Yarrowia lipolytica: one gene and its partner. The protein of the gene in region 2 purifies or fractionates together with the protein of the main gene of each other region. This does not show direct contact. Links are inferred from orthologs where the notes say so. Each region holds a gene or a part of one and is shown on either strand. Other genes may lie near its edges.

Region 1 (3,727 bases), on a different chromosome or scaffold from region 2:
ATCACTTCCTCTGGTTCTCCCACTTCTCGGACCCTGAGCTTCCCCCGGCGTCTATTCGATACCACAATCTGGACTACGTAGGAGAGACCCGGCTGCCCTTTGCTCAAGTGGCGTCCTACTTTGTCATCTGCATCTGGCTTGTGCCCTTTTCACTCTTCATCTCCCTCAGTGCCTCGGACTACGTTCTGCCCAGCACCAACGAAGTCCAGGGCGGTGAGCAGAAGCGACGAGGCGCCTCGCTGGCCAAAATTGTCGTCGATCCTCTTCGAAACCTCTGGTTCAAGATCGGCGAGATGTTTGGCTACAAGCGGGTGGGTCAGATGCCTATTTAAGGCACTCCCACAACAACAATCAGGAGTTGTAGCAAAGCACACCCGCTCAGACAACCCCACTGGTACTCAAAAAACACTTGCTGTTCTAACAGAAGCCCTATAACGAAAGTATTAGCATAGATTCGTGCGGATTTGCGTAGCCGATATGGCCCAACTGTTGTATTTGTACTTGGCTAAAGCTCAACATTCCCAATCGCCGTTGACGTCAGAAATTTCACCCAGCCAAAAGTTGTGCTAATATTAAGTAGTCATGTTGGGCTACTGTAATTATGTGGGAAATAAATGATCGTTGAATGCACACACTGAAAGTCATTACTGTACTGTACAATGTAAAATGTTACTTGGCGATGTACAATTGGGATACATACAGTAGACACTGCACATAGCGCACATTAGATATACAAGTACAGGCACTTAGGGTCCTGTATCTAATATGTTACTGCCCGCTCCTATCTCAACTTGCTGTCTCAACACCAAGCAGTGCCTCTTGTGTGTATGCATGCACGTCAAAACCGCACACTGTTCAATTGGTGGTTTTTGCTCCCTTCCTACAGACTTGTACATATTTACTGCTGTACACCTGCTCTGTACGTACGTCCAGTCCACGCCCCCGTATAGCTGAAGCTCATAGCTATGTTTGCATCTAGATTATTCCGATAGTAGACACCAACAGGGTAGATCCTCGAGGGACGCACCATGTATTATATTGTGTTCACGTGACATGTGCGTCTTGGTTAGTAATTCCAAGCTCCGATAATCGGACTTCTGAGCGTGTTGAGCTTTACGCTCGTCTTGGACCCCCATTTTTGCTACCGCCAATAGCCACTCACTCTCGTGTACACAGCAGTAGGCTCTCCTCTTTAGTCCTCTGTGTGACGTGGGGGACCAACCTAAATTAGTCCGGGTGGACGTGTCACTAGAACGTTGTAATACCAAGGTAGTTGCGCTTGTTTTGACCAAAAATGTGTGACAAAACATTGCCAGTGTATCCAGTCTGGGAATTGAGTCGTTCTATAACCGTCATTTCCACTCCACTTCCGCGCAACGCGCTGCTGAGCACTCGGAAAATTAGCTCGAAAAGTTTTTCCGGGTTATGTGACCCGCCAGCAGGTTAGGCTCTATTCTGTTGGGAAATAACTCTCAACCGCCCCTCCGAGCTAAATCTCTCACTACAAGACTCTTCATCGACAAACGATATCTGAGATCTTTTTCGGTCCCACAGCAACAAGCCACAAACATGTCTGCCATCAAGCAATTGAACCGTCTGGCCGCCACCGCCAAGACCTCTGTTCTCAAGCCCGCCTCCAAGCAGATTCTGCTGCCCACTGCTGGCCAGCAGGCTGCCATCCGAATGATGGGCCAGACCCGAGCTGCCTCAACCGAAGGCGGCGCCACTAACGTGAGTATTTTTTGTGTGAACGACACGATATATACACGACGGCCGTGCGCTTGCGGCTTCGCGATGCGCCCTGAATGGGGCAACTCGAGCGTTGTGTAACGGGTGTTCATCAACAGCAAACAGTGCTTTTCGGACTTAAGACATGGCAGAAGAAGCAAACACGGTTATAGCGAGAGAGATCACAATGGAGTGACGAGCTTTCAGTGATATTTGCCACCAGTCAAATTTTCAGCAACTCCTGAAACGCACCCATTTTATCATCATTGTGACGCGGACATTCAGCCTCATGCTGTAACTGCACTCCGTGTCTGGAGCTGCCGGAGTTATCAAAGCTGTAGGTGCCAATTGTGAAATAGCGATTCGGCGATTCAGCCGTTGATTGCGTTCCTGCTATGTCGCAATTGTACAATGCTCTGTACACTTCCAACAACATCAACATGACAACACCCAAAACAACGTACTAACCTAGATGACTGTCAGAGACGCCCTCAACACCGCACTGCGAGAGGAGATGGACCGAAACGATAATGTTTTCATCATGGGTGAGGAGGTCGGCCAGTACAACGGTGCCTACAAGGTCACCAAGGGCCTTCTCGACAAGTTCGGCGAGAAGCGAGTGGTTGACACCCCTATCACCGAGATGGGTTTCGCCGGTGTTTGTGTCGGTGCCGCCCTGGCCGGTCTCACCCCCGTCTGCGAGTTCATGACCTGGAACTTCGCCATGCAGGCCATTGATCAGATCATCAATTCCGGTGCCAAGACCTACTACATGTCCGGAGGTACCCAGCAGTGCAATGTCACCTTCCGAGGTCCTAACGGTGCCGCCGCTGGTGTTGCTGCCCAACACTCTCAGGATTTCACCGGGTGGTACGGCCAGATTCCCGGTCTCAAGGTCGTCTCTCCCTACAGCTCTGAGGATGCCAAGGGTCTGCTCAAGGCCGCCATCCGAGACCCCAACGTGACTGTTTTCCTCGAGAACGAGATCATGTACGGAGAGTCTTTCCCCATGTCTGAGGAGGCCATGTCCCCCGACTTCGTTCTGCCCCTTGGAAAGGCCAAGATTGAGCGAGAGGGTAAGGATATCACTCTTGTCGGTCACTCCCGAAACGTCGAGACCGCCCTCAAGGCCGCCGACCTCCTCAAGAAGCACCACAACGTCGATGCCGAGGTCATTAACCTGCGAACTGTCAAGCCTCTCGACACTGAGACCATTTTCAACTCCATCAAGAAGACTAACCGACTTGTCTCTGTCGAGGCTGGCTTCCCCGCCTTTGGCATGGGCTCCGAGCTCTGTGGTGTCGTCAACGACTCCTGGGCCTGGGATTACCTTGATGCCCCCATCCAGCGAGTTACCGGAGCTGAGGTTCCCACTCCTTACGCCATTGAGCTTGAGAACTTCGCCTTCCCCACACCCGAGATTGTTGTCAAGGCTGCCAAGGACGCCCTCTACATTGAGGAGTAGAGCGCTCCAGCTACAACATGTAGGTACATACAGTAATTATTGCACGGATAGGAGCTTATGTAGAGTATGATTAACGTATTTAACGCAATTCAACAAGTGACTGAAGCATATCTAATTATTCGTACAAACATTTATCTTTCATATTTTATTCGTCTAATGTATCTATATACAGCCTCAAACTCTCCAGCTTGAAATAGGGAGCGACTCAAGGAAGCGCATTTTCTTGTAAATCCATCCAAAGAACAGCGTGGCTCCAATGGTGATGCACAGCATCGAGGTGATGTAGTAGCCATCGGTTTGGATGGTGCAGATACCTCCACTCTGCTCACACATGTTCTTGGCCTCCTTGGCCACACATGAGAAGGCAGCGAAGGTCTTGCCAGCCTTGGGTGTACAGGTGGCGGATGTGAACCAGTCGACAGCCTTGAGAACAATAATCTTTGGCCAGAGACCGCCCAGGTTGGAAATTGTGTTAAGGGTGGTCATGTAGGTGCCTCCGATGACAGGGTCAGCAATCTGGGTATGGAAGGCAGT
Region 2 (5,323 bases):
GCGTACATACATACAGATACAGTATTTCTCGCAGTTCATGGAGATAATAGTTCCAATACCCACTCATGGACCAAATATAAGTAGTTAGGATCTGAAAGCCTGTATCATAATTAATTCAAGACTAAGGAAGACCTTCATATATTCATATTGTCCAAATTCGCAATCTTTTTATTATTCTAGGCATTTTTTTTTATTCTAATCTTTACTAACCCAAAATACAGCTCGTTTCACCTTTCCGATATAGTGTAGGGGCTATCACATCACGCTCTCATCTTGAGAACCGTGGAGACCGGGGTTCGATTCCCCGTATCGGAGTGTACAGCCAACTGGCTGTCTCTTTTTTTATTCTTCTTTTCCCTATCATGTGTTGGTATCAACCAATTTTGCATGAGGATAAGCTGACTAACCCTTTTGACCTGTAACCCTCCCATCCCTTCTTATGGGTGGGGTACGTGAAATACGTCTCCGCCTTAAATCTATACATATAATCATCATTCGTTACTATATACATGACTACTCCAGCACAGTCCACTTCTTTTTGTCCATGGTTTCGTATCCGGGGCCGAGAGCGGCCACTGAGTACCCGGAGGGGTTGACGAGATACTGCTTGGCAACCCGCTTGACGTCATCAACAGCCACATCAAGCAGCTGCCGTCGTCGCTTCTCTCGCTGCTCGTAGGTAAGTCCGTTGGCATAGAGAGCCATTCCCTCTGACTTGACGGAGATGGGGGCATCGATTCGCTGGAAAAGGGACAGCTTGGCCTCCTGCAGATCGGAAGAGCTCCAGTCCTTCTTGACAGACCACTCTCCAGCCTCCTGGCAGGTCTGCAGGGTTCGTTCCAAGTTGGGGTCTCGGTATGAATAATATGAGAAGAAGCCGTCAGTGGGGTTATAAGAGGCTCCTCCACCGTAAGCGCCTCCCTTTTCTCGGATTTCTCGATGCAGATGCTTGTGGGTCAGCATGTTGGCGAGTACCTGCAGGGGAGCTCCGTCAGCATGAGTGTAGGGCACTCCGGGGATGGCAATACCAGCGTAGTTGACCTGGAACGGTAACTTGAACAAGGTGCTTGTGGGAGTGGTCATGGGGATAGACAACGACGAGATATTGAAGGGCGACTCATTGGTCTCGAAGGACTCAGCGAACTTTCGCACCAACTCGTCGTTCTTGGTCTGCATGTCCTGGCCACAAGTGACGGCAAATCGCTGCTCACGGGTCAGAGCAAACTTGGCAATCTCCTGGAGCTTGGGGATGACCTCGTCGACAAGCTGCTGCTCGGACTTGGCAGCCAGCTCAGACAGGAAGCGCACCTGGGCCACACCCCCCAGAATGTCGTCAATCTTCTTGACAGGGGAAATATCGGAAGCAGCTCGAAGCATGGCGAACGAGTGTCCAGACTGAGCCAACGCGTTGGACAGGTTAGCGGTGGAGGCTGCAATCATGGTCTTAAGCTTCTCAACGTTGGTGAAATCAGTGTTTCGAAGCAGCTCCTGAAACAGGCCAAACATGGTCTCCACATTTTTGTCCAAAGCCACACCATCCATAGCAAAGTTGAGCTGGGACGACGGCAGAGAAAGAGGAGAAGAAGAGCAGGAGACAGAGAAATCAAGACCACCAGTGTTGAGTTTGATTTCGTCTTCCAGTTGGCCCATAGTCTTGTCCTTGGTTCCCAAAAAGGTTAGGGACGAGGTGAACAGAGGAAGGAAGGGGTAGTACTCGTGGGGAAGACCCTCTAGAGAAGAGATGGAGTGGAAGTAAGTCAGACCGTTGGTGGGGGCAAGTCGCCACTGGATGGGATAGGGATTCTTGGTATGCTCCAAGGCAACTCGAGGCTTGCTTCTGGGGATGTCTGAGACGTGAAGAGTGGGCAGACAGTCAAGGTTCTCAGGCTCTTCCTGCATCTTTTCCAGGTTGGCCCCGGTCTCGAAGATTTCCTCCTTATCAGATTCAGTCAGTTTGGCCAGCTTGTCGGTCAGAATCTCGTCCTCCTTTTCCTGCACATTCTTCTCATAGTCGGGATTGGGGTTCATCTGAAAGTGGAAGTACTTGTTGTCGAGCAAGTACTTCTTCATCACCTTCTGCAGGAACTCAGGGTCGGCCTCCATGTCTTTGTTGAACCGATCGAGCACAGAATTCCACTCCAGAGCCTCCAGGGGGTCGACCTGGTTAAACCAGCCAGGAAGAACACCGTTCATAAGAGCCATACCGAACTTGGCGTTCTGGTCCTTTCGAGCAAGCTCAGTCTGATGCAAAAGACCGTCGATTCGGCCCTTGTCGAAGCCCTCAGCAACGGTAGTCTTGATGGTGTCGAGAATAACAGTCTCGACCTTTGTAAGATCGCTCTCGGTCACTCCCTGAAGACCAACAGAGAAAATGTTAGCTCCAGGAGCACTGTCAAGGCCAGTGTTGGGAGAGTAGGAAGATCCAAGACCGGAATCAATCAGCTTCTGATGAAGGGGGGAAGAATGACCGTCAATGAGTAGAGAAGAGATGATCTTGACGCAGAAAGACTCGTAAATGTCCTTGGGAGAACCCATCAACCACGACATGGACATCTTGTGCTGCTTAGACGTATCCAGAAGAGTGTCAATAGGACCCTCTTCAACGATACGGGTGTTCTCAGCGGCAGAAGAAAATTCGAGAGGCAATCTCTCGGTGTTTCCGGGAGTTTTGGAGATCTCACAATTCTCAAATTTGGCGTTCAGAGCCTCCAAATGGTCAGCAACAGAGATATCTCCATAAGAAAACGTCTTGGCGTTGCTGGGGTTGTAGTGATCAGCATGAAACTTCTTGAGACCCTCGTAGGTGAGTTCGGGAATAACAAGAGGGTCTCCTCCAGAGTTGTTCAAACTGGGGTAGATCTTCTCCAGGTACCGAATGTAGAAAGCGTAAGCAGCATTGGACATTTGACCTTTCATCTCGTTGAAAACGACACCCTTGAGGATGATGGGACTGGTCTTGTCCTTGGAGTCCTCGTTTTCCAGTCTCCAGCCTTCCTGAGAAAAGTCCAGCTCTCGAAGCAGAGGCTTCAGGGTAGCATCGAGGTACACATCTCGCAGATTCTTCATGTCGGTAGCGTTGGTGGTAGCAAAGGGGTAAAAGGTGTAGTCCTGGGCGGTCATCGCGTTCATGAAGTTGGCAAGAGATCGGTTAAGCATCTTGAAGAAGGGATCTCGGACTTGGTACTTTTCCGATCCACACAACGTTGTATGCTCCAGAATATGGGGAACTCCGGTTCGATCGGGAGGATTAGTCTTGAAGCCGATGGAAAAGACGTTGTTGGAGTCATCTCGAGCAATGTGCAGATGCTGGGCTCCAGTGGAGTGCTCTAGCAGGGTAGCCTGCAGATCAAACTCGGGGATCTCTTTGGTTCTGAGAACATTGAAGCCATGGATATTGTCGCCGACAGAGAGAGTGGGTGCGGAGGTGGTGGCGAAACGTCGAACCACGGCCTGGACCGGTTTTTTGAGCGACTTTAGACGTAACATGGTGGTGGAAGAGAGTGTCGATGCAAGTCTCGATTTTAGATAAAAGAGTGAACAACTCTAAATGATTTATAATAGTTGGGGGAAGGTAGCGACGAGGCGGTGGTCACATTACAGGAAAACAAATATGGATTGATACCATGTACCATGAGTGATCACGTGCCATGAGTGATCACGTGGACAGTTTTCGTAGTCAGGATTTCCGTCTGTGGGTTTCTGGAGAGTTGTTAGAGCGTCAATAACCGACATCTTCCTCGATGCGGGGAATAGGGTAAGGGAGAAACCCGTGAGGTGGCAAGACGAAGATTAGTAATATTTATAATGAGTGGAGGACTGATCACGTGATAGGATTCTACGATCGTGTGGCTAACTTATGCTTGATGGGCTCGTGGCGGTCGAGAATGATTTCTTATCTGTCTTTTGAACACTCCTGGTGATGCATAATTAGGTTGCAAAGGTCTGGAATACTGATGGAAGAAATCGATTTCAGTGTCGCTGCTAAGACGAGGAGGGGACTTACAGAGAGAAGAATAACAGCATTAAAAATAAGGGTGCCTGTAGCTTTCGATCTATATAAATAATGTACTACAATCTCATTACGTTGCTTACCGTAAACTGCGATTATTTCCGTAGGTGCTGTGTTGAGGTTTTCAGTGGCGACTCGCCAGATTGTCAAAACAGGCTATTCGAGTCACAACAGAAGACGTAGGCTAGCTACTGTATTTAAAACAAGCATCCTAATGAAAGTACTTGTACTCACCTTGTAGGTTGCGGCTCCCAGCAACCAACAACCACAATTATTTACATGATCTGACAATTCAGTCAAATGTTGGAATCAGCATACTCCCGTGAAAATGTGGACCTTGCATTTCCAGGGCCTGGACTGTTTCGGTGGGTGTTTGGATCGCAGTCTCGCCACCAGACGTTTCTTTCCACCACCTTCGTAGACCTGATCGACTGTTTATAGCGAGAAACAGTGGGTTCTGTTTGTGGTGTGTAATTGTGGAGGTCAGGTTGGCGTCGGAGTTGGGACTATTAATAGGTTCAGGTTATGACAAGTATTTTTAGCGACTCGCACAGCATGTACACTATGAATAAGAGAGATGCACAGAGTCAGTGAGAGATTAGAGATAGTTGAACAGACACGTGACGAAAAATATCTCGTGACCTATTAGTTGCAATTGAATTATATTTGGTAACGTGACACGCTCACGACTTCCGCGTTCAACTAATTACCACTTCTGGACGCGTCTCCCAAATCATTTCAATTAAGCTCTTGGGTACGCGTCGTGAAGGCTGGGCCTTGTAACCTCCTTCTTTCCTCCACAACACCATGGACAGCTCTCCAATTCGACTCATGAGCGCAAGTGAGCAGAATGCAGGATGTGACAAGCCTGTAATGGCCGACAACAAGCCTCTGTGCACGATTACCACGCCCGAACCGTCACCCAAGCGTCGAAAGATCTCTGCCGAGGAGAAAGAAAAGATGCGACTTGAAAAGGAACAGATCAAGAAGCAGAAAGAGGAAGAGCGAGAGCAGCTTCGAAGACAGAAGGAAGAAGAGAAAGAGCTACTGAGAAAGCAGAAAGAGGAGGAGAAGGAACAACTGAGGAAACAGAAGGAGGAGGAGAAGAGGGGGCTAAAGAGGAGGAAGAAAGGGAAAGAGGAGGAGAAACGACGACGAGAAGAGGAACGAAAGAAGGCTGCCGAAGAGAAGGAGCTTGAGCGAGCCAAGATTGCAGAGGAGAAGGCTAAGTTGGCTGAAGAGAAGGAGGCCAAGAGACTTGAAAAAGAAGCTGAACTCAAGAAGAAGGAGCAAGAACAGACTCGAATCATGTCT

Evidence for each region. The genes of interacting proteins can lie anywhere in the genome.
Region 1: the proteins of YALI1_F28537g (region 2) and YALI1_E31947g purify together in Saccharomyces cerevisiae (affinity purification with mass spectrometry; 3 studies listed by BioGRID). This does not show direct contact. The link is inferred for Yarrowia lipolytica from reciprocal best matches to the Saccharomyces cerevisiae genes CYM1 and PDB1.

The regions. Positions count from the first base shown.
Region 1 is NC_090774.1:3,193,244-3,196,970, reverse strand, and holds YALI1_E31947g (uncharacterized protein), read left to right. Parts: upstream 1-1,569; coding exon 1,570-1,731; intron 1,732-2,200; coding exon 2,201-3,193; downstream 3,194-3,727. Other genes in the region: YALI1_E31974g (uncharacterized protein), read left to right, coding at 1-332; YALI1_E31919g (uncharacterized protein), read right to left, coding at 3,368-3,727. UniProt on the Saccharomyces cerevisiae protein: The pyruvate dehydrogenase complex catalyzes the overall conversion of pyruvate to acetyl-CoA and CO(2).
Region 2 is NC_090775.1:2,850,282-2,855,604, forward strand, and holds YALI1_F28537g (uncharacterized protein), read right to left. Parts: upstream 3,487-5,323; coding exon 514-3,486; downstream 1-513. Other genes in the region: YALI1_F28550g (uncharacterized protein), read left to right, coding at 4,817-5,323. UniProt on the Saccharomyces cerevisiae protein: Degrades mitochondrial transit peptides after their cleavage in the intermembrane space or in the matrix, and presequence peptides; clearance of these peptides is required to keep the presequence processing machinery running.